Linked DNA regions of Ovis aries. The protein of the gene in region 4 binds, or shares a complex with, the protein of the main gene of each other region. Links are inferred from orthologs where the notes say so. Each region holds a gene or a part of one and is shown on either strand. Other genes may lie near its edges. The genes, in order: SMU1, SF3B3, IK, PRPF38A, MFAP1 and ZMAT2.

Region 1 (3,972 bases), on a different chromosome or scaffold from region 4:
AGAAGTTCAGTGGACTTCTGATAACGTCTAATTTCACGGAGTGTCCCAGTACCAAGCCTGTAACGATGTGGTTCATTCACCTCTCCAGTAGAGGGCGCACTCTTGAGAGCGGCTTTTGTAGCAAGTTGCTTCCTCGGTGCTTTACCACCGGTCGATTTGCCGGTAGTCTGCTTTGTACGAGCCACGGTATAGAGACCTCCTTACTTACCCACCTTCTCCTTCGGCTGGAGCTCCGAGAGCCAGAAGAGGCGCTGGCGTTGGAGAGCGACGGCGGCGCGGTGGTGGCTGCGAATACAACTCAGGATTGATGCTTTTGAACTGCGGTGTTGAAGACTCTTGAGAGTCCCTTGGTCTGCAAGGAGATCAAACCAGTCAATCCTAGAGGAAATCGGCCCTTAATATTCATTAGAAGGATTGATGCTGAGGCGGAAGCTCCAATACTTTGGCCACCTGTTGTGAAGAACTGACTCACTGGAGAAGTTCTTGAGGCTGGTCTTGAGATTGAAGGCAGAGAAGAAGCGGACGACAGAGGATGAGATGGTTGGATGGCATCACCGACTCGATGGACATGAGTTTGAGCAAGCTCTGGGAATTGGTGATGGACAAGGAACCCTGGCATGCAGCAGTCCATGGGGTTGCAGAGTCAGATACGACTGAGCAACTGAACTGTACTGATACATACGTACCCTCCCTCTTGAATCTCCCTCCGACTTCCCACCCCATCCCACCCATCTAGGTTGTCACAGAGCACTGGGTTGAGCTCCCTGAGTCATACAGCAAATTCCCACTAGCTATCTGTTTTGTTTATGGTAATATATATGATTCTCCTGTACTCTCAATTCATCCCACCCTCTCCTTCCCCCACTCTGTCCAAAAGTCTGTTCTCTATGTCTGTCAGCCCTATCTTTAAATCTAAACTAAGTAAAAATTTAAAAGGCAACATTTAGAAACCAGTCCTTTAAGAACGACTCTTTCTTTAGAGAGAATGAAGAATTCTCTGGACCAGGCACTTAGGTTCAGACTTCTGAAACGCCCTCGAAGCTCCGCCCTGCACCGCCCTGCGTGCAAGCCCCGCCCAGCACTGCCCCGCCCCACACGTAGTCCTCCCTCCTCTTCCGTACACACGGCCTCCGGAGCGAGGGGGCTCGACGTCGAGCGGAAGTGACGTACGTGAGTCGCCGGAGGTGGCGTTGGTGCGTTGTGCGGCTGGGCCTGAGAGTGGAGTGGGGCCTGCGCCCGGAAAGACAGCGCTATGTCGATCGAAATCGAGTCCTCCGAGTGAGTCTCGTGGTGTCGGATGTTCGCGAAGTGGCCGGGCCGGGAGTCGATGAGTTGAGGGGTAGAAGCTGCTCGAGGGAGGCGTCCCAGAGGTTGGGAGTGGAGGGGTATTTACTTCCCCACAAAGAAGCTTTTGGGATCTGACTGCTTCAGGGGCGGGCCCGCAAGAAAGTAGCGAACGGAAAGCCCAAAGCCTGGTGGAAAGCGGCGCGGGGCTAGGGGTAGGACGTGCCTGCAAAACCTGAGTTCTAGCCCTCGCCGACTCCTGATGCGCCCTGAGACTGAGCAGATTAGCCATCCAGTCAGGACTCCGGTCTCATCTGCACAAGGGGGCTGCACTCTTAGCCTTCCCTCTCTTCCTGCCCCCATTGAGCACGGTGGTTTGTTTCCTCCCCTGTGCTTACACGGCCCTCTGTTTTTTTCTGCCTAGCTCTTAATCTGGTATTGTCACCGTTTGCCCACCCTTCTAGCCTATGTCGGCGCCTAGGGGCTGCTTTTCATCACAGTCTCAGTTCCTAGTACATCGTAGAGGCTCAGTAATTGTCTTTGGAATGAAAGCTACTTGTTTTATCAGGTTCCGTGTGGCGCTGAATTTTGGTTGGCCCGTGAGCTTTGTGTAGCCACAAGGGAGGGACAGAATGTGGAAACTGGGCCAGGAGAATGATAGATTTGGGGGAGAGGGGTACTAATGAGTGACTGAAGAAAGTCTTCAGTGAACTTTTCCAGGACTCCATCCTCTACTTGCTCTTGCCAACGCTTAATAATTAAATTGGCAGATTTTACATTTGCATCATGAGTGTAAGGGAGGGATCTGCCATAGGAGGAAGGGAGGTTTATTCATTCAGAAAATATTGAAGTCTGCTGTGTACCTGCTCTAGCCCTGGGAATATGGTAGTGAATGAAGCAGACCAAAGTCCTTGCCCTTACAGAAAGGAAGGAAAACAGCAGTAAGTAAAATAGGCTTACAGATGGTGGTAAGTGTTGTGGAGAAAAGTAAAACAAAGAAGGATGATGGAGAGTGCTGGCGATGAAGACAGCTAGGAGTTGGCAGGAGTTGGAAAGCATTCCATACTTCAGACCCTGAATCAAAAATGGGAACAGATCATTCTCCCAGCCCTGAGCTGCTGCATGTTTTTTATTATCAGTAATTGCTGTGTTTATTAAGTATTTTCTCTGTTAGCCACGCTGTAAGCAGTGTCATCTTCTCTTTGATCAGCCCTACAGACTGATTTGTATACCCTACAGAGTAGGTATTTTTCTTAACAGATGAGGAAATAGGCAAAGAGACGTTAACTGACTTGTCCAAAGTCACAGTAAGTGCAGAGCTCTGATTCAAATCCCAATCTCTGATTCAAATCTCCAAAACTTTTAACTCTTATGTATTACACAAAGAAGAAAGTGAATTTGATTTTGGCTCTAGAAAATACGAGTTCTTTGCAAGCATGGTGTCTCATTTGTGGAGTATAAATGGAAGTGTGCTGTTGGGAACAGTGTGGTGCTAGAACAGCAGGGATCCAAGCTGGGGTCTCTTAACGGCCTGTGAAAGAAAAGACCACTGTGAGTAGCAGTATTCAGTTCCCTTCTGCAAGAACTGTTTTTAAGAAGAGGGGGTTTGCTCTCCTATCCGGGCTATTGGAAGGACTAATGCTGCAGCTCCAATACTTTGGCCACCTATGGAAAGAGCTGACTCATTAGAAAAGACTCTGGTGCTGAGAAGGATTGAAGGCAGGAGGTGGAAGGGATGAGAGAGGGCAAGGTGGTTGGATGGCATCACTGACTCAATGGGCATGAGTTTGAGCAAGCTCTAGGAGAAGGTGAAAGACAGGGAAGCCTGGTGTGCTGCAGTCCACGGGTTCGCAGTGTCAGACACGACCGAGTGACTGACAACAACAAAATATGCTCACATGCCACACTGCCCGTTTGAATCTTCCTTTTTCCACTTAGCTCTGTTTCCTGGCCAAATCCTCATCTGTAAAATGGACCTAAGAGTAAATGCCATCCTCATAGGGTTGTTTTGAGGAGTAGCTGAGTCGGAAATGCTTAGAACAGTACCTGATATATTGTGAACACTGGTCAAGTAAACATTGGTCATTGTTTTTTGATTATTGTTTCTCTCCCGGGAAAGAGAATAGACTAAATTCCAATTTGAAATCTCTTCCAATCTGGACAGTGTGACCCCTGATACTCATGCTGTCCAGTAGAAGTATGCATGAGCCATATGTGTACTTCAAAGGCAAGAGAAGAACAGTGTAGTATAGCAATGTACATGAGCTTTTACTGTCTATATGAAAAATTATTCACCAAACTCCTTAATACTAAGCCAGAGATCAAGAAGTTTTAATTGAATATATATTTAACTTGTAAGTTTTCTGTCATATGCTGAAAATTGTTGCTTGTTCTCTCAGTATTTGGAGATTGTCTGGGTTCTCTTTCCCTTGGGAAAGTGTATTCACATGTTTTTATTTCACTTGTCCTGAAATTTTGGTAATAATGGCAGTGGGTAGGTGTTATTTTTGTGAGGACACATAACTTTGTTTTGAATTTACATCTAATATAGCTCTACTTATTTATGTTCAACAAATCCCTGTTAAAATGGTCTCAATTCATATTTTTTTTGCTGTCATTTAAAAATGGACCAAACCATTCAGTCATTTAGAGTATTCTGTATCAGTGACTAGACTAGGTTTAAAACGT
Region 2 (3,500 bases), on a different chromosome or scaffold from region 4:
TAAAGCTAATGTCCAACTAACTAACTACAACACTGGTGAATTACTGACAGCAAGATTTACACCACAGGGCTCAGCTGATGCCACTAATATCCACACACACATTCTGCCCCTTTCATTACTTACTGCCTCCTGGCCTTGCATCCGGACACGAAACAGTTTCACAGGACGGGACCCCAGGTACCTAGTGCGGGTGTCAGACAGGTCCCCAGTGACAGGGTCCAGGACAGTTCTCAGCAACACACCATTCTAATAAAAATGAGAGAGGTGGTTAAGGCCTACCCATAATGGAAGCTTCTTTAGCTACCCTATTTCAGTTGGAAGAAAATGACTGGGCGGTTTAAATATATAGTCATCAGCCAGCCATTCATTCATTTTCCTAAACCACTCACTCAAATAGTTACTGAGCATTTACTAAGTGAAAAGCAGTTTCCTTTTACCGTATATCCTTAAAATTTTTTACCCTTTATGTTAGACCCTTTACAATTTTAAGATACATGTACAGTTTAACATACCCATGCCTATTGTGGTCTCTAAATACCACTTCCCTTAAAAAAATAAAAGATTCCTGAGAGAAATGCCTTATTCCAGTCTGAAGCAAAAATGTTCTAGATGTGTGTGGAGTACTTTCTTGTGCTAGGAGGAAGCCCCCAAAGATAGTAGGCACCTGTTAAATGGACAAAGGAGGCAACTTCAGAAGGAAAATTCCCACTTTTCTATATTGTGGCAACTTAGCTTCTAAAAGAAAGACTGTGATAGTCTGATGTAAATATAAAAACCTGCAAATGTTATCTAAAATTAAAATAAAAAGCATTTCAGCAGTCTTCACTGGAGACTGCGATGGCACCAACCTCTTACTCTAAAAATAGTGAACAAAGGGGGAAAAGTGAAGTGTTTATCCAAGAACTCAGGTTTGAAGGCTGTGATGCAGCCCCCACAGCAGAGGCAGTAAACTGGATGCACCATCCAGAATCAGGAACACACGCTCCGCCCTGGGGATGAGGAAGAATCGCGCTGTGATTTTCTGGGAGGCCAGCACAGGCGCAGGATGGGAAGTAGGAAGGTCCCCAAGAACAATGATCTGGTTTCTTTTTAACAAGTTGAGACAGTTATTAAAAGAAATGTGAGGGCTTCCTGGTGGTCCAGTGGCTGAGACTGTGCTCCTGACGCAGGGGGCCCGGTTTCAATCCCTGATCAGGGAACAAGATCCCACATGCTTCAACTAAGGCCTGACACAGTCAAATAAATAATGAAATAAAATAATGTGAGAAGATTAAGCAGATAAAAACTGGACAGTTTTATGCATTCTGAGTAGAACCAAAAGTAAAAACTTTTTCCAGAACAGGATAAAAAAGGGAGAAAATGAGAATATGGGGGTATCAGATGATACTAAGGAACTTACATTCTGTTAACCATAATATTAGAGCTTCAAAACACACACACACGCACTCCTCTGTTATAGCTACGTTCTCAAGCCCTTATAGATGACACTAAATTGGATCTGCCTTAAAGAGAAGAGAAGGGAAAGGCAAAATGCTGGTAACTGGTGATGGGTGCATGGAGGTGCATTTCGTTAGTCTAACTCCTGGGCATGTTTGAGAATTTCTAAATTAGGAAGTAAAATTAAAAACCAAACAGTCTCCTGGGCTAGGCGAAAAAAAAAAAAAAGGATATGGTCAAAACCCCTGATACTCTCTGATTCTTGGGTTCCTGCCTTTCATGCCATGAAGAGCCTAGGTGCTTTGACAACAGGGTACACCGAGGAGCCCTTTACTGCTAACGGAGCCCATCATGAACTGTGAGGCCCTCTGTATCCTTGGATTTCGAATCCACAATTCAACCAACCACAGATCAAAAATATTTCAGGGGGAACAAAAGCAGAAAATGCCAAAAAACTAAACTTGAATTGGCTGCACATGTACAGCAACTATTTATACAGCATTTACCTTGTATTAGGCAATTAAGTAATCTAGAGATGATTTAATTAAAGGTTACGAAAAAATACAAACATTATGCCATCTTATATAAGGGACTTGAGTATCTTCTGATTTTGGTATCCAAGAGAGATCCTGGAACCAACCCCAAGGACACTGAGGGACAACTGGATTACAGTCTCACAACTGCAAACTGTGGAAACCAGAGGCAATATAGCTCTGTCCCAAAACAGTCACTGCTAAGCAGTTTTATCAGACTCTAGAAAATACTTTTTTCCAGCCCTGATTTCTTCTAAATTAGAGCTAAAACAAGTGGAACAGAGAGCAAAACTGATCCCTTCTCACAAGGCGGGTAACTAACACACAGGCACAGAAAACACCTGCGTTACACAAAGCAGCCATGGAGAAAAGACGCCCTGACCCCAGGAGTGAGGGTTTCTGGACCTCTTACCTGGAGTCCAATATTCAGGTACAAGAAGCCAATAGAGCCTCTCTCCCCCAGCTCATCCTGCTTCTCGGTCCCACCCATTTCCACAATACACAAGGACTCGGGCTGGGCCGGGAGAGCCTGCATGCTCAAAGGCTGTAAACAGTCCTAAAGTGGAAAGAGAAAACAGAATACGGCAAGTGACCAACTCTGGAAAAAAACCTACCCAGAAAAATCTAATTCTTAGAAGTGAAGAACAGCTCTTTTTCATGGACATGGAAAACCTGAAGAATGAGTTCTCAACAGGTACGGGGTCACTAGAGAACTAAACCTTAAAACAAGCTCTGGAGAGGATTGGGCTTTCTCTTTTTTGTAGAAGTGGAGAATGGTAAAACTAAATAAGCAAAGGGTACCTCTTTAGAGTCATCTAAGGCTCTTTTCTGTAAACACAGTCTTGGATTTTGTTTTCGTTCGTTTAAACTAAAAAAGGGAATCAGGACTTAAGCCAAAGACACATTTAGTAGTCTTGGATCAGTCCTTTTAAAGCACTGCAGGCGATTCATGAGGTGTGCTGCTACAATAATCAGAAGCAGCAGAAGTCTAGATTCAGGGCCCAGCCCAGCTGATCTCAGAGAGGGACATCAAGAATGGGCCGGGTGCTCAGGTTCCAACTGGAAGATCCTTGAAATGGAGGGTGACACTCACCGAGGGGTCCAAGGAGATGATCCTGACAGTGTTGTCCACCAGCCCCACAGCCAGAAAGCGAGACCGCTGCTCCCCAGGGGGCACATTGGCCAGGCTCATGCACACCACATCCGCCGACATCTCCTTCCGCTCCGTGTACTCGTTCAGCTGTCCCGACTACAGGATTGAAGACAGGGAGAGGTCACAGACCACGCCACCCCGTCCCCAACTCCCGAGCCTGGAGAAGAAAGGGGGCTTGCTAAATAAGTTCTTTTTTGCTTCCTCTCACTCTATCATCGACGAGCAAAAATTTCTCAACTTGAGTTTCCAAGACTGAACTCTACAGGCTAATGGCAAGCAAAATTACTGACAAGATAATAAAGAGACCTTTGACAAGCATAATGCACCAAATTTCCTAAGCCAACCTAACTTTTAGGAAATGAAAATATATCACTGTT
Region 3 (2,909 bases), on a different chromosome or scaffold from region 4:
ACCAAACCCCTCTTAGCTAGGACAGGGATTCCTCAAGTGAGGGATTCCTCACTTCCCCTCCAACCCAATAAGCAGTGATTTCTGCTTGGAATTACTGAGGATCCCCACAAGGCATAAATCTGTGTGAAAGGTTTTTTGTTCCCAGGAGTGTTTCTCATCAAGTGCCTTCACCTAGAACCCAGTCATGCACAACCTTGGGATCAGACTGGCAGCTCACTGGGCTAACCCTAAGTCCCAGAGAACCTCTACCCTAAGACTAGGTCCCCAGATGAGTCTGCTATTTAAGACCAATCATCTTTGTTTTTCTGTGCTTATCAGTGAGGGTCAATCGTCCCTTCTCCACTGGGTATCCTGGCTACTATATATATTGCTTAGGAATCTATTAACAGAAGCACAGCTCAGCAAAGGACTGAGCTGACTTCCATGTGATTTTTATACAATCAGTGGGATTAGAAGACTTCTTGGTGTACCTGGGCCCTCAACATACATAAGATAAGACAGCAGGTTAACCAACTTTAATGGGATCAAAACATTATACAATAAAATTTATACACATTCACACACAAAAAAATCTTTCAACTTTTTTTTTGGAATTGTATAAAGCAAGCAGTGGGGAGTAAATCCTTGTGGAGATTATTCTTGGAGTTGGAACCAGAGATTTTAGTATTTTGGTCTTTTCACTTCAACTCTGCAATAGAAGGAGAAATGAACATAAGATCAATATACTAAGCAATTCTCACCAGTCCCACAGAGGAAAAATAATGCTGCTCACCCATCAGCTTCCATCTTCTTCCTCTTCTCAATGATCTGCAAGAACAACAGTTATAGTTGATAGACTGCCATTCTAAGCTCACCTGAAACCCAAGGCTGACCTCTCTCCTACTTCCATGGCTCTCCAACCCCTTGCCTGGTTCCTGAATCTGTGGGCAAGTATGTCTTCCCAGCTCAGGCCCTCCCACCCAGAACCAGTCCCACTTACCGCACTAATCTTTTTCCACTGGCGATCAAGCTCTGCTTTGTCATTGGTTTCCTTGAAGCGCCTGGTTTTCCGCCCTTCAGACATCTTGATGCCATACTGGAATGCAGCTCTGAAGGGAAAAAAGGGGAGTTGAGGGAAGGAGGCATCAGAGGTTACAGAGCAGTAGCAAGGTGTTCCCAGAGGACCTATGAGCAGAGAACTGATTTTGTAATGTTTCAGCCAGACTACACCCTCTCACCACCCACCATCCCTCTCCTCACACTTGGCTGTATTTAGTACCAAGACTCACTTGGGCAAAGCCTCCTTGTTGTTCATATACTCGCTATATTCCTCCTGGGTGTCAAAGTCCCAGCGGCCTAAAGGACCTTTCTTGTTACCCTGTTGCAGGACAGAATGGGGGGGGGGGGCAGGGAAGGAAGAGTTGTCAGTGGAAATCAAATTTTAGCCCTTGATTAAAGCCAGGCTCTCCCATAATCCCAGGTTTTATCATTAATAAATCCTACCTTAATAAGAAGTGTTTACTATGTACTTACTATGGGTTGGGAAGATCCAATGCAGAACGGAAAGGCTACCTACTCTAGTATTCCAGCCTGGAGAATTCCATGGACTGTATAGTCCATGAGGTCGCAAAGAGTCGCACAACTGAGCGACTTTCACTTCACTCACTCCTATGGGCCAGATATTATTCTGCACATTTAACATGTACCTTATTTAATTCTCTCAGAAACTGTTCTGAGAGAACTTAAGAGTTCTCTCCATTTTCCTAATGAGGAAACTGAAGAATAAGCAGTAACATAATTTGACATGGTCACAACACTAATACCTAGCAGAGCCAGGGTTAAGCAAGGCTCCAAAACAGAATGAGACCATGCTGTTAAGCACAAAAGTACAGAGAAAACAAGGAAAAAGATGACACTTCTTCACCCTTATTGGTGTTTGTTTAAGGCTTAGAGGAAATATCAATCCTGGCTATAATAAAACTCAAGTTATTTTCCTTTTTCTCCTGCCAGTTATTTTCTTTTTTTTTAATTTTATTTTTATTTTACAATACTGTATTGGTTTTGCCATACACTGACATGAATCCACCAAGGGTGTATACAAGTTCCCAATCCTGAATCCCCCTCCCACCTCCCACTGCCAGTTATTTTCTAAAAACTGAAATTCCTTCTGCCCTTTTCTACATGTGCACTAAAGGCCTGCTTACTGCCCAAGATGGAATTCAAAGCCTGGCACTTTATAGAAAATAAAAAGAAACATATTCTTGGCCCTATCTCATTTGACTTAGTCGTGACGCTTTAAAACACTTAAGCTGCCCAAGACCCACAATGCCACTGCTCCTACTACTCCAGCTAATGGAAGATGAGCCTCAGGAAATGACAGATCTTTTGGGAGGAGAAAATGGGATATGTGTTAAACAGTAACTGCCCCCACCCATTCTTCCAGCTCCACACCTGGTCCATTTTGCTATAATCCACCTCCTCATCACTGTCCACAGCCATGTCATCCATCCTAAAAAGAAGCAACAGTTTAAAAGAGATGGTGGATTTCCAGACTCCTATGATTCATTCAGAAACCTACCTACTAAGAGACTATATGCCTAGGAATAGCCATCCCTCCTAGGCCTCCCACACAGAGCCTAACAGAATACTTTATCTAGTAAGAAGTACCCCTGGGTTCCACCAAGTCAAATTTCCACATCACTGCTACTACCCCCAAACTTATTCTCCGATCATCCCAGTCCACCTTCTTCAATAGAGTCTCGGGACTGCCCTGGTAGTCCACTGCTTAGCAATCCACCCACCAGTGCAGGGGAACAAGTTCAATTCCTGATCTGGAAAGATTCCGCATGCAGGTAGGCAACTAAGTTTGCGTGTCCCAACTATTGAACCTGAGCTCCACAACAGGAAAAGCTACTGCAACTAGAGAGTAG
Region 4 (4,280 bases):
CATCCCCTACATAATGGGGATAATAATTTTACAGGGTAGTTGTGGAGGTTAAATAAATTATTGCATGTAAATTTCTTAGAATAGAGATTGGCAATAATAATCTATTATTACATCTGTCTCCTGTTCTCATCTGTGAGCTCCTCAAACAGCTTATATTTTGGGGCCAGATACCATGCAACAGGCACCGATAGAGATTTACAGCTCTTTCTTCCTTAATCCTCACATCTATCCTGAGTTGGTATTATTGTTTCCATTTTACAGGTAAAGAAAGTAAAATTTAGAAAATTAAGTAACTTCTCCAAGGTCACAGTTCATAGGTAATAGGGTCTGGACATGAACCTACAATTAACACAAACGTCTCCCTCTTCTTCACCACACTTTATGTTGCTTTCTTCATCCTTAAGTATTCAGTGCTACCAACATATTTGGCATTAACTTCTGCTTAATATATGTCAGTGAGTTTTGTGAAATACTTTTTTGGAAGAAAAGTCACCAAGGTTCAGAAAGTAAAGAAGGTTAATACAATCAAAACAGACAAAACAAAAACTCAAGGGGCGCAGGAACAAAATACCAGAGTGGGACTTTGGAAATGGGATACACTGTTTCACTTCTTTTAACCAAAGCCAAATTCTGGACCATGAAATTAAAATATTTATATTAGCTAGTAAATATTTTACTCACTTGAAATCTTCATTTTTTATAAACTCTACAATGATGTCCTTCTCAGGTTGAATCTGAAGCATCTTCAAGGTTAAACACAAAAAAGGAGTTGGCTTTATGTTGCCACCATAGACACCACCCACAAATCTTAACTCCATAGCTTTATCGACTACAAGTTCAGCTAAAAAACAAAAACAGAGTGGCATTGCAGACATATTAAGACTAAGCTTTTACAGGTTTGAAGTGCAGAGAGTTAAAGTTAGTTCAAAATTTGGTGCTCCTGAATTAACAGCTTAATATTAGGAGAACAAGTGTGCAATAAATAACAGCAGCCAATACACACTGAGAGATTATTATATGCCAAGCACTCTGCTAAGCACTTCATACTATCTCATTTAATCTTCACAAGTCATGAGCTTAAGTTCCAGCACTGCCCTTGTTTTCAGCTAAGGAAAATGAGGGCTAAGAAAGGTTAAATGATTTGCTCAAGATTCACAGCCAGAAAGTGGCAGGGCCTGGATTTTAGTCCAAGAAGTCTGACTTCAGAGTCTGTGCTTGTCACCATCATGTTAGAGGAAAAACTGCCAGATTAAATAAGAGTTAGAAGGAGGAAAACTGTAACAAACCACTCCTCAACTATGTAACTCTTAAGTTCATCTAGACAACAGGGATAACTTCTCGATGTTGTCATCAAAATCAGACACCAGTTTTGTGAACGAGGGCAAGTCATTTCACCTCTGGAATGAGAAAAGGCCCCCAAAGTAAATCTTACATGACTCCAAAATTTAATGGCGACTCTGAAAACCAATATGGCTCTGCCGTGGATACACAGCTAGGGTGATGGCAGAGCAGTAACAGCACAGGAGTAAGTAGCAGTGGTAACAACCTGCGCCACTATCACCACTGATTACTGAGTACTTTTATTAATATATGGCTGTAGCTAAATATACATAGCATCACCGACTCAATGGACATGAATTTGAGCAAACTCTGGCAGACAGTGGAGGAGAGAGAGCCCGGCAGGCTACGGCCCAGGGGGGTCACAAGAGTCTGACACTACTTAGCGACTGAACAAGCTGTAACTATATACCCAACACTTCTTACACTTTATTTCATTTAATCGTTAGATTTCTTGGGTTAAATCATTTAATCCGTTGACCTCTGATGTGGGTATTATTGTGCTCGGTTTACAGTAGATGAACTAATGGTTCACGGGGGAAACACAGGTACCAAAAAAAAGCCAGAATTAAACCGAGTATCAAAGACGACCTGGAAGATTTCTCTTAAAAACATATATTTATATTAGGACTGGGAATGTGAAATATTGCAAATGGTCCAGATTTGGTAAGATTATAAATTTGGTTTCGGGAATACTGACGCTCCTTTAAGACCTTCAGGGTTAACACTACTACTACTACTACTACTACTACTACTACTACTACTACTACTACTACTAAGTCACTTCAGTCGTGTCCGACTCTGTGCGACCCCATAGACGGCAGCCCACCAGTCTCCCCCGTCCCTGGGATTCTCCAGGCAAGAACACTGGAGTGGGTTGCCATTTTCTTCTCCAATGCGTGAAAGTGAAACGTGAAAGGGAAGTCGCTCAGTCCTGTCCGACTCTCCGCGACCCCGTGGACTGCAGCCTACCAGGCTCCTCCGTCCATGGGATTTTCCAGGCAAGAGTACTGGAGTGGGGTGACATCGCCTTCTCCGGGAACCCAGTAAGTTATCATTAACTATGGAATGCCTCAAAGAAACGACGTGTGACACCCTTCCGAATAAGGTCCTATCACATCTATCTGTGTTCCCAAAGCCCAACACAACACTAGGCACAGAGTAGGCGCTCAGATTCTTCCGAATGACTGAAAAATTCCCCCTAAATCTCACCCCCAGTGGGCCAGTCCTATTGTACTACTCCGGAAAACTGGGCCACGGGACGACAGGGGTTGGGGCGGGGATGGGGGGTGTTCCGCACGCTCTTGCTCACCTGTAAGTCCAAAGCACTCCTCTTTCCAGTATTTGGACTCATAAATTCGCGTCCGAATGATTTTCTCCACCAGATACTGAGGGTTGGTGCCGTGGATGCTGTGCGCATCTTTTACCGTACGGTTCGCCATTTTAGAACGCCTGACGTTCTATTTCCGTCGGGTCCTTTAAGACGTCACATCCACGTTAAAAAAACCAGAGAGAAATGATGAGGTTGGAGGAAGTCTCACTAAACGGTTCGAGCGTGCATCTTGAACCCGGAAATGTTTTCGAGTTAGGAACTTTCTTCGGCGAACGGCTTCGCAAACCTAATCAATGATGGCCGCGGCCCTTCGGCGGATGTACGTCGTGCGTCCCTCCTTAGATGGGCGGGGCGGAAGGGCTGGCTGCTGACGGAACGTGGAGACACCCTGGGGGCGGGGCTACGGCGTTTGGCGCGAAATTTCCTTTTCTCCACCTTCTTTCCATTCCTAGCGAGGCTTCCGTTTCGGCGTTGTTGCGCGCCTGGCAGCTATAAGAAGAGTGCCCCTGGGGCAGGTAGATTTGCTGCAGTTCCACGAGCTCCTGAAGCGGGGACGCTGGAAGGAGGCTTGCGCCCAGCTCCAACAAACTTTGGCGCCCGGTGAGTGTGACGTCCCAGGCTGGAGAGGGACCTGAGCCGCGGGACTGTGGAATTTGTTCTCTGCGGACTGATTCAGCCATAAATCCATTCAGCAGATATGTACTAAACGCCTGTTAAATGCCAGGCACTGTTCTAAGTGCATTAGGAGCGTCTTACTTTCCACATGGCGATTTCTAACAGCTTTCTGCCTCTGCCGGGGATTGCGATCTTGCAGTGGGAAACCGGAAGCCAACAGCGGAGAAGGAAGCGTGAACACTCCTGTCCTCAGCTCCTTAAGACTATCAGTATTGACCTGAGTCATATGAACCTTATATCCACATGGCCCGTGGGAAGCAATCGCATCTTTCTTTTAGGGTAGTGTAACAAGCACCACAGGGAAGCGGAGCAGCAGAAGTTACTACTCGATGTGGATGTCGCTATTGCTCCCAGAGGGAAAAAGAGACTAGTCTTAAGTCCCTTTCCGTGACTAAGGGGCCTGAGCTCCTACTCAGATCTTTTTTTTTCCCCTAGACGAGCTGCTCTTAACTGCAGTGGCACCTCTTTTACTTTCTCTAGTCTAACCCCGAAATAGAAGGGCCTTCTCTTCTGGCAAATTGGAAAAAGCACTGGACTTAGAGAAATGAGATGCAAGATTCTTATCTTGGGCTATCTGCCAAATTGCAATAATTAGATATGGTAGTTTTCTATTTTGGTTGTCTGTAAAAGTGGTACCCTCTTCCCTGCTGTTTTGGAAGGTTTCTGGGGCGAGATCATGTTCATCAAGTCCCTTTGCAACAGTTTTTAATGTAACAGGGCAATATGCAACTTCAGAAGGTTTCTGAATTCCTTGAAATTAAACGCAGAATTTTGTGTGAATTCTGTTTCATAACATTCATCAAAGTATTAAAAAACAAAACCAAGAAAAAAACCACTGTCCCGTATGAATAAATGCAAAGGGTTAAGGGAGTGGGGAAGGACTTTCCTGGCAGTCCAGTGGGTAAGACTTGGTGCTTCTACTGCAGGGAGCGCG
Region 5 (4,178 bases), on a different chromosome or scaffold from region 4:
CCTCGGGATAGCATAATTTTGGAGCTGATAAATTTACAATACAAATTTCTATCAACTCTATTTTTACAGTCCTTCGTAGCTCAAAACTTGTGTCCTGCACTGTTCTTTGATTGAGACTTGCCCAATTTTATTTCTTCTCCCAGCTGAGGCCCAACTGTAGAACAGGTGAAACCACTTGAGAAGTAATGCTACTAACAGTACCTTCAGGAAAGTTCCCTTCAGCAATTTTTCACTCCTGGACTCAAAAATTACTGATAAAATCACTTTTCACAGCGCCTGATATATGCCATATTTCTGGACTTCAAGACTTTGCTCACATTGTCCCTTCTCTCCGTACACAGCAGTTATAAAATCTTTTCTACAGCGTTCTGCCAACTAGCCTGTTTTTTGTTTTTGTTTTTAAACACGATCCACCTAGAAAATGGGGGCTATTTGTTCCTATTCTATTATAAACCCTTTCGGTTCAGTTCAGTCGCTCAGTCGTATCCGACTGTTTGCGACCCCATGAATTGCAGCACGCCAGGCCTCCCATTGCTGCTGCTGTTGCTAAGTCACTTCAGTCGTGTCCGACTCTGTGCGACCCCATGGACTGCAGCCTACCAGGCTTCTCCATCCATGGGATTTTCCAGGCAAAGAGTACTGGAGTGGGGTGGCATTGCCTTCTCCGGGCCTCCCATTAAGACTTACTAAATAAAATTCAAGTTCCTGGAGGACACGAGCCTTTTAACAATATTCCATACTCCTTAGAGAGATCTAAGTGATGTAAACACCAGTGCTTAATAATTACTTACGGACTCATATACAAACACTCCAGCCAGGAATATGTTATAATAGGCAGTCTCCAGAAACGGACAGAACTGGAACGCTTAATAGTGTTCGGATCTCAGACACTATTCTAAGCTGCTTGGGGGATTTTTTTTTTCTTGCCACTGGCCTAAATTACCACCACTTGCCCTCAAGTGACCAAAAAATACCTCACCACAATCCGCTCAGCCTCATCAACTGAGCTAATCAAGTGCTGTTAACGGGATTTCTATTCCGATTAAACTCTGAGCTTTCAAATTTGACAATCTTTACAAACTGCAGTTCATTATCTCCTGAGTTTCATTATTCATCACTACCCTGTAATAGTCGGGTTTAGACCAACCTAACGAACAAAACCTTTACTTGAGACTTCCCTCGTCGCAGGGTCTTAACAGCAAATCCCAGTGGAACCAACTTCCCGCGGGGAAGACGCGTACAAGCACTGCGAGACTGAGAACACCGGGGCAGCCTATGGACATGCGCAGTAACAGACTCCACCTTCTAGTCGTAGGCGTCTAGAAGTCCTCCACAATCCCACAATCCTCTGGTCGTATACTTCCGGTTTTTCTAGCTCAGTCGAAGGTGGTGTTTCTATCAGTCGCGGAGCAGTTTCAAGTGGTCCTAGGAGGAGAGGGTTTTATCTGTTCGTTGACGTTGTAGCTGTTCACTTTGAAATCAGTCGAGTTTCGGGAGTCACCGCCGCTGTCGTCAACATGTCGGTCCCAAGCTCACTCATGAAACAACCGCCCATTCAGTCAACGGCTGGGGCCGTCCCGGTTCGCAATGAGAAAGGTACTGTGTTGAGCGGTTTTCCAGTCGGATCTTATCTCTTTCGTCAGGATATTCCAAACTTACCCCGGGTCCACCACCTTATCCCCAGAGATCCTTAAGACCCTGCCCCTATTTCTTCGACTTCCCCGTCAAACTCGGATCCGATCGCGTTGCTACTTAGAACTCATCTCCTTAGTAGAACCTGTGTGCTCTCTCGTCCACCAATAAGTTAAGCTAATATAGTGAATGCCTGCTATTTGCATGGCTTTGTGTAGCATACATTTTGTTGTCCATTGTCTGTTTATGGTGCTTTTATAACTCGTATGATTGTAATTACTTGTCCACCTCCGTCTACTACATCGTAAATCAATAACCTATTTGAGGCAAGAACTCTATCTTAAAACTTTTTATCCCTTTCAGCCATCGCAGTGACTGTATTTGTTACATTGAATACAAAATGGTGTAAAACAGTGGTGTAAGGAACTCATAGTCTGTAGATGTGAGACATGCAAAAAAGAGGCACATTCTGAACAAATTTATGGTCTTTCCCACCTATAAAACCTGTCACATAGGTGATATAAACGAAATGCTTTGGGAGGACAGAGAAGGAATAATCTCTTCAGATTGGAATATTTAACTTGATCTTTAAAGGATGGGTAGGATTCTAATGAGTGCAGATGGACGAAGGAAAACTGTACTTGTTTGGGGAGTCAGACTGAAAGTCTGAGTTTTTTCAGTAAAGTATTTGGAAAATAATGTCAGTTCTTTTTATCTTTTAAATATACAGTATCTATCTTTGTGCATTCTGCCTTTTGTTGTTGTTTTTTCCTTAAGTCAGCATGACTTTGGTAAGTGTCCTTTGGATACCTGAAGATCTCATTCATTCACTTTAACTGCTTGTTTCGTCGCTAAGTCCTGTCTGACTCTGGGACTCCATGGGACTGTAACCCACCAGGTTCCTCTGTCCTTGGGATTTCCCAGGCAAGATTACTGGAGTGGGTTACCATTTCCTTCTCCAGGGGATCTTCCCTACCCAGGGATAGAACTGGTGTCTCCTTCATTGGCAGGTGGATTCTTAACCTCTGAGCCACCAGGGAAGCCCCTTTACCTGCTTATAAGTTCCATTGTATAATTAAACCACAGTTTGATCCCTGTTGAGGGACATTTAGTTGTCATTTTGTTACTTTTTTCCCTTTTACAAATAGTGCTTAAATATGTCTCTTTAGTGCACTTGTGTAAAAATTTCTACTAGGGTAGTGTGAATCTACGTTGACACATCATTTATCATTCAGTCCGTAGTTTGCATTAAGATTCACTCTGATGTACATTCTATGGATTTGAACAAATGTATCGGGATATATATCCATCATTATGGTATCACACAGTATTTTCACTTAGTAATATGCATTTTAAGTTTCCTGCATGTATTTTCATGGCTTGATAGCTCTTTTTGTTTTGTTGTTGCTGAGTAATATTCCATCATCTGGATGTACCATAGTTTACTTATCCATTCACCTCTGTGAAGGACAGCTTGGTTGCTTACAAGTTTTGGCAATTATGAACAAAGCTACAATCGATATCCATGTGCGGGTTTTTGTGTTTTGCTCCTTTGTATAAATACCAAAGAGCGGAAATGAGATCATATGGTAAGAGTATGCTTAGTTTTGTATGAAACCACCAAACCATCTTCCAAAGTGGTTGTGCCATTTTGCACTCCCACCCACAATAAATCAGAGTTCCTGTTGCTCCACATTCTTACCAGCATTTGGTATTGTCAGAGCTCTAGATTTTGGCCATTCTGTGTGTAGCAACATCTCATTGTTGTTTTTTTTTTTTTAATTTGCATTCCCTGAAGACATATAAGGGCTTCCCAGGTGGCTCAGTGGTTTAAAAAAATTACTGCCAATGAAGAAAACAAAGGTTTGATCCCTTGGTGAGGAAGAGGCCCTGGAGGAGGAAATGGCAGCTCACTCCAGTATTCTTGCCTGGAGAATCCCCATGGACAGAGGAGCCTGGCGGGCTACAGTCCATGGGGTCGCAGAGTCGGACACGACTAAGCCACAGAGCATGCACGAAGACACAAAATGTGGACCATCTTTTCACATACTTATTTGCCATCTGTATATCTTCTTTGGCAAGGTGTCTGTTAAGGTCTTTTACCTCACCTTGTTCTTCAGAATTGTCTTGGCTCTTTTTGACCTCCTGTTCTTCCATATGATTTTAGAATCAGCCTGAGAACAGCTTTTAATGAAATTACATTAAAATTATAGAGCACAGGTCAGTTCAGTCGCTCAGTCGTGTCCGACTCTTTGCAACCCCATGAATCACAGCACGCCAGGCTTCCCTGTCCATCACCATCTCCTGGCGTTCACTCAGACTCATGTCCATCAAGTCCGTGATGCCATCCAGCCATCTCATCCTCTGTCGTCCCCTTCTCCTCCTGCCCCCAATCCCTCCCAGCATCAGAGTCTTTTCCAATGAGTCAGCTCTTCACATGAGGTGGCCAAAGTACTGGAGCTTCAGCTTTAGCATCATTCCTTCCAAAAGAAATCCCAGGGCTGATCTCCTTCAGAATGGACTGGTTGGATCTCCTTGCAGTCCAA
Region 6 (4,179 bases), on a different chromosome or scaffold from region 4:
TTACGTTTCTTTCCATTAATGTGATCCAAGAAGTTAATGGAGTCTTTCACCACACAGTCACAGACATTGCAGTAGTACCTAGAAAACAAAAAGAAACAACACTAGCTTCAAATTTGCTTATAAAGATTTTATCGTTTTCAGCCAAGAAACTGATAATATTTAGGTAAAAATTCTTTTTAGAGGAGACACTTCTCATTTCCACAAAGCCTTTGCTCTTAGAAGAGTGTGGCTTCCAGCCTCCAAGATGGCCCCCACATTGATGCCACCTATATTCCTACCCTATATAGGCCCTTCCCAATTTGTACCAGGGTTAGTCCATATGATCAATAAATTATATCAAAAGTAATGCTACGTCACTTCCAAGATTAGGTTTTTTTAAAAAAACATGCATTCTGCTTAGTCTGTTCATGTAGATCACCTACTCTGGGGAAGCCACTTGCTTTGTTGTGAGCAGCACTATGGAGTGGCCCATACAGCACAGAACTGAGGCCTCCAAATCACAGTCACGTGACACAGTTTGGACAAAGATCCTCCAGCCCCACTTACACCTCGGATGAATGCAGACCCAGCAGACACCCTGATGTCAGCTTTGTGAGAGACCCTGAGCCAGAACTACTTAGATAAGCCTTTTCCATATTACTTACCCATGTGAGATATTGTGAGCTATTCTTTGTTTTATGCTGCTAATACTGGGTTAATGTATTAACACAAATAGCAATAGATAACTAACACAAAGAGGAAAGTTAACAGTGAGTTTACTCAGAGAAGCAGCTCAGAGAAGTGTCACTTATTGTTATCTGTGTTATGCTCCTGCTGGAAAACACACCTAGACAGAGTAGTAGTGTTAGGCAAAAAGATGAAGAGTTCTTGTGAGACCTTTCTTCCTAAAAGTAAGGGTCTAGGAGGAAGGTGCACAACCAGAAAATACATAACTACAACTTCTGTAGCCAGTCTTGAACCTCAACTCCCTTTATTCATGGTCAACATTTTCTGGGCTCCATTTTAGTTGCACCTAATTTCTCCCCTAGAAATCTCCTGAGTAGTCCTTTCCTTCATTTCTTCCTTTGGAAGGAGAACAAATAATCCCTTTTAAAATATTAAGAAGTAGATATAGTGCTAATATGAAGAAGCCTACAGAGTAACCCCCTCTTACAGACATGTTAACTAGAGACCCTGGAGGGAAATGGATGGAATTACAGGAAACAAGGTTGTTATTCTGGGGGCAGGTACTGAGCGTAACATTTCCTGGCTGCAGAGAAAGATGAAAAGCCACTCACCCTCCCATCTCAGACTGTGGGGTAGTCTTGGTAATGACAATTGTCTTTCCGAGTTTGGATTCCAGGTCCACCTTGTAGTCCCTATGCCGGAGAAGCTCTCGCTTAACTGGCTGCACTGGTTTTCCTGAAATATAATGGGGAAGGAAGTCCCTTCATTATTAGAGTTCCTTAACCAGAAAGGAAAAGAAATGCATAAAGTCCAAAATCCAGAGGTCTACTTTCATTTCTTTTGTGAAACATGAAGCAAAGGACACAACAGTCACTTGTAGCAGCAGCTAAGGAGAAGCTCAACACAAAAAAATGACAAGCAATTCTTAACTCTCTACATCTTTTCTCCACTTTAAAGCCAAAGAATCTAAAAGCAATTTTTTAAATGCATTAATTAACTGAAGGCAAGAGTTGTGAATCTGCACAAAAAGCAACCTTTTAAAAGAACAGCAAGACTACTCTTAAAAGGGAGACCAATATTTGGGAAATAATCTGTTGCATGCCAAGCACTATTATACAAGTTACATAAAAACTAAAAGGTTTAGAGTGTGTAACCTGGTGTGGAAGAAGGCAGAAGAATGTATGGTTTGAAAACAGATGAGAAAGGAAGATATTTTTTTCTACATAGTGGAATCTCTAGAAGAGGAGCACCAACTCCCTGACACTGTCTATCGCACAGAGAACAGTCCTAGACGCTAGGTTAAATAATACCATGTTTCCTGCTGAGAGAAAAAGAGGCTCTTCAATAGTAGTTAACACACAGCAGCGAAATACTCCTCCTCCTGTCGCTACTAAGGATTCCAATCTCTTCTCCGTACCGGAGGAAAGTACTAAATGAGCCAAGCAAAGGCAGAGCAAGGAACCCGAAAATCACAGAGCTGGAAAGCACCTCAAAAGCACTTCAATCCATCTCGCTTTCACCTTATATCTGAAGAAATCGAGAACTAGGGAGGGAATACTCTGCCAGATATTACAGAAGTATGGAGGACAGCGCATTTCAACTCCCCACCCACTCACTCTCCAACCACTGCATCGCCTCTACAACACAGTTAGCACTTAACTAAGCAAGTACCCACCATCCTTCTTTTCTCTCTCTTCCGTGAGCCTCTTCTCGGCGAGCTTCTCATATTCATCTTTGTCCCACTTTCGGCGAAAGTCCAAGTTTTTTGTCTGGGGGAAGAAAAATGCGCTTAAGATTCGCCGCTAATCGTGTCCAACTCCTGGAAAAACTGAAGAAACCGCGTCCACGCTGCCAAGGCGGCCCAGGACCTGAAGAGAGTGAAGCCTCTCCGGACACCACCAGGAGGCTAAGGTTACCTCAGGACCCCAACCCGAGCCCTCCCCGATTCCACAGACCCTGCGCGAGAGCCTCACTGGGGAGCTCTTGAACTGGAGCCATTATGTTGCGAAGAGGCGTCGGGAAGCCAGTTGGGTGTGGAATATTCAACGCCGAGAAGCCACCCTCTACCCGCGACTCCAAGCCTCCTCACACACAACACCTACCCCACTGCCTGACGCCATCTTCACTGCGAAGTGAATGGGAAGCCGGAAAATGCCGTAAAAAGCGGCCTTGAGCCGTAAAGCAAGCTTGCCTCCAATCAGCTTAGAGTCTCGTGTTCTAAACGAGCGAAGAACTGGAGGGCTTCGAAAACAGGATTGTCAGCCCCGCCTCCGCGCCAAGGAAATGGCGCATGCGTAAGGGAAGTATGAAGCAACACGGAAGTAAGGGCGCCTGCAAACGTTTTCGTCCTGGCTTTCAAAACAGGCAGATTCAACTCATCTTAACAAGAGGAAAATAAGATTCAGATCAGTGCTCTCTGATCTAGTCTAATAAACTTGCGTGCATTCCAGGAGTTTCCAAACATTTAAGGCTGAAGCGCTGTTATACGGTCTCAAATGCTTCACTTTAGTGATTCACCGCAAGCACTAAAAATACGGGCTCAGAGCACTTTCCTGAAAAGATTGCAGCCTTCCCAACACACAAATACAAATCGCTTTTTACAGTTTGTCTCTTTATCTTGAAGCAATGCTACCACCCTTTGGTTCACTCATTTTTCCTCCAGCTGAGTACATTAGGGTCATTCAATCCATCAGTTTCAGTTCAGTTCAGTCGCTCAGTCGTGTCCGACTCTTTGCGACCCCATGAATCACAGCACGCCAGGCTTCCCTCTCCATCACCAACTCCATAGGGCACAGTTTAAACAACATGATCGGACTTGGGAAGTTGGGTATCAACAACACTCCCGTGAAGAACTCTAGCAGATGTCTCACTATACACTGATTCAGTGGTGTGACTTTATCTCTAAGTTGGGGGAAGAGGGAACTGTGGTCACTTCCTTCACTCAATACAGAAACATCACCCCAGGGAGATAACTCCTAGTTCACAGAATCCTCCCGTGTACACTCTAGGGTTTTCCATGGCCTACGCAAACCAACCCCTTGATAACAATTACTCAAACTACTCCATTAAAATTTTATTTAATATATTATACAACCACTTCAAGAACAGCTACCTCCATGGCAGGACACAGAAGTCAGAGAAGTGATTCCGGCACAGGTAATGGGCCCCAAAAACATATCTCCATCTTGTCAGGTCACCTATTAAGTTCAACATTCAAGATTATTAAACAAACAGGCTCACCCTGTTATTATTAACAGTGGATGGGCTAGAGAGATGTCACATCAATATGGGCAGTGCAATGCCCTTAGGATAGCATCTCTGTTCTCAAACAAAACAGAAAGAAGTCATTTCCCGTCCTTGCTGTCTCCCCAAAACTCCCTGAACAGCCCATGACTAGGTTTTGGACAAACTTTCCAGAAGCCATAGTGGAAGGCTAAATATTTGACTTTTGATCTCAATGGTTCAGAATCCTCTCAATCTGAGGTGACTTTCCAAGAAACTTGCTGACAGCAA

Evidence for each region.
Region 1: PRPF38A (region 4) and SMU1 share a complex: the UniProt entries of both Homo sapiens proteins name them as parts of the spliceosome B complex. The link is inferred for Ovis aries from reciprocal best matches to the Homo sapiens genes PRPF38A and SMU1.
Region 2: PRPF38A (region 4) and SF3B3 share a complex: the UniProt entries of both Homo sapiens proteins name them as parts of the spliceosome B complex. The link is inferred for Ovis aries from reciprocal best matches to the Homo sapiens genes PRPF38A and SF3B3.
Region 3: PRPF38A (region 4) and IK share a complex: the UniProt entries of both Homo sapiens proteins name them as parts of the spliceosome B complex. The link is inferred for Ovis aries from reciprocal best matches to the Homo sapiens genes PRPF38A and IK.
Region 5: the proteins of PRPF38A (region 4) and MFAP1 are in contact, whole or in part, in a crystal structure (PDB 5F5S), measured with the Homo sapiens proteins. The link is inferred for Ovis aries from reciprocal best matches to the Homo sapiens genes PRPF38A and MFAP1. Residues at the interface, in NP_116253.2 of Homo sapiens: Tyr124, Asn125, Tyr127, Lys129, His143, Asp145, Glu146, Asp149, His153, Tyr169, Val170, Glu172; in NP_005917.2 of Homo sapiens: Glu275, Tyr276, Trp279, Arg282, Glu283, Arg286, Arg289, Asp290, Arg294, Leu297, Glu298, Lys301.
Region 6: PRPF38A (region 4) and ZMAT2 share a complex: the UniProt entries of both Homo sapiens proteins name them as parts of the spliceosome B complex. The link is inferred for Ovis aries from reciprocal best matches to the Homo sapiens genes PRPF38A and ZMAT2.

The regions. Positions count from the first base shown.
Region 1 is NC_056055.1:38,076,462-38,080,433, forward strand, and holds the start of SMU1 (WD40 repeat-containing protein SMU1), read left to right. Parts: upstream 1-1,172; 5' UTR 1,173-1,252; coding exon 1,253-1,278; intron 1,279-3,972. UniProt on the Homo sapiens protein: Involved in pre-mRNA splicing as a component of the spliceosome. Regulates alternative splicing of the HSPG2 pre-mRNA. Required for normal accumulation of IK.
Region 2 is NC_056067.1:1,088,206-1,091,705, forward strand, and holds part of SF3B3 (splicing factor 3B subunit 3), read right to left. Parts: intron 3,220-3,500; coding exon 3,064-3,219; intron 2,527-3,063; coding exon 2,383-2,526; intron 247-2,382; coding exon 124-246; intron 1-123. UniProt on the Homo sapiens protein: Component of the 17S U2 SnRNP complex of the spliceosome, a large ribonucleoprotein complex that removes introns from transcribed pre-mRNAs.
Region 3 is NC_056058.1:49,453,081-49,455,989, reverse strand, and holds the end of IK (protein Red), read right to left. Parts: intron 2,489-2,909; coding exon 2,431-2,488; intron 1,358-2,430; coding exon 1,269-1,357; intron 1,089-1,268; coding exon 980-1,088; intron 808-979; coding exon 773-807; intron 689-772; coding exon 661-688; 3' UTR 501-660; downstream 1-500. UniProt on the Homo sapiens protein: Involved in pre-mRNA splicing as a component of the spliceosome. Auxiliary spliceosomal protein that regulates selection of alternative splice sites in a small set of target pre-mRNA species. Required for normal mitotic cell cycle progression.
Region 4 is NC_056054.1:26,803,042-26,807,321, reverse strand, and holds the start of PRPF38A (pre-mRNA-splicing factor 38A), read right to left. Parts: upstream 2,801-4,280; 5' UTR 2,781-2,800; coding exon 2,651-2,780; intron 842-2,650; coding exon 682-841; intron 1-681. UniProt on the Homo sapiens protein: Involved in pre-mRNA splicing as a component of the spliceosome.
Region 5 is NC_056071.1:53,265,322-53,269,499, reverse strand, and holds the start of MFAP1 (microfibrillar-associated protein 1), read left to right. Parts: upstream 1-1,378; 5' UTR 1,379-1,517; coding exon 1,518-1,596; intron 1,597-4,178. UniProt on the Homo sapiens protein: Involved in pre-mRNA splicing as a component of the spliceosome.
Region 6 is NC_056058.1:49,485,641-49,489,819, reverse strand, and holds the start of ZMAT2 (zinc finger matrin-type protein 2), read right to left. Parts: upstream 2,801-4,179; 5' UTR 2,787-2,800; coding exon 2,769-2,786; intron 2,436-2,768; coding exon 2,342-2,435; intron 1,402-2,341; coding exon 1,278-1,401; intron 79-1,277; coding exon 5-78; intron 1-4. UniProt on the Homo sapiens protein: Involved in pre-mRNA splicing as a component of the spliceosome.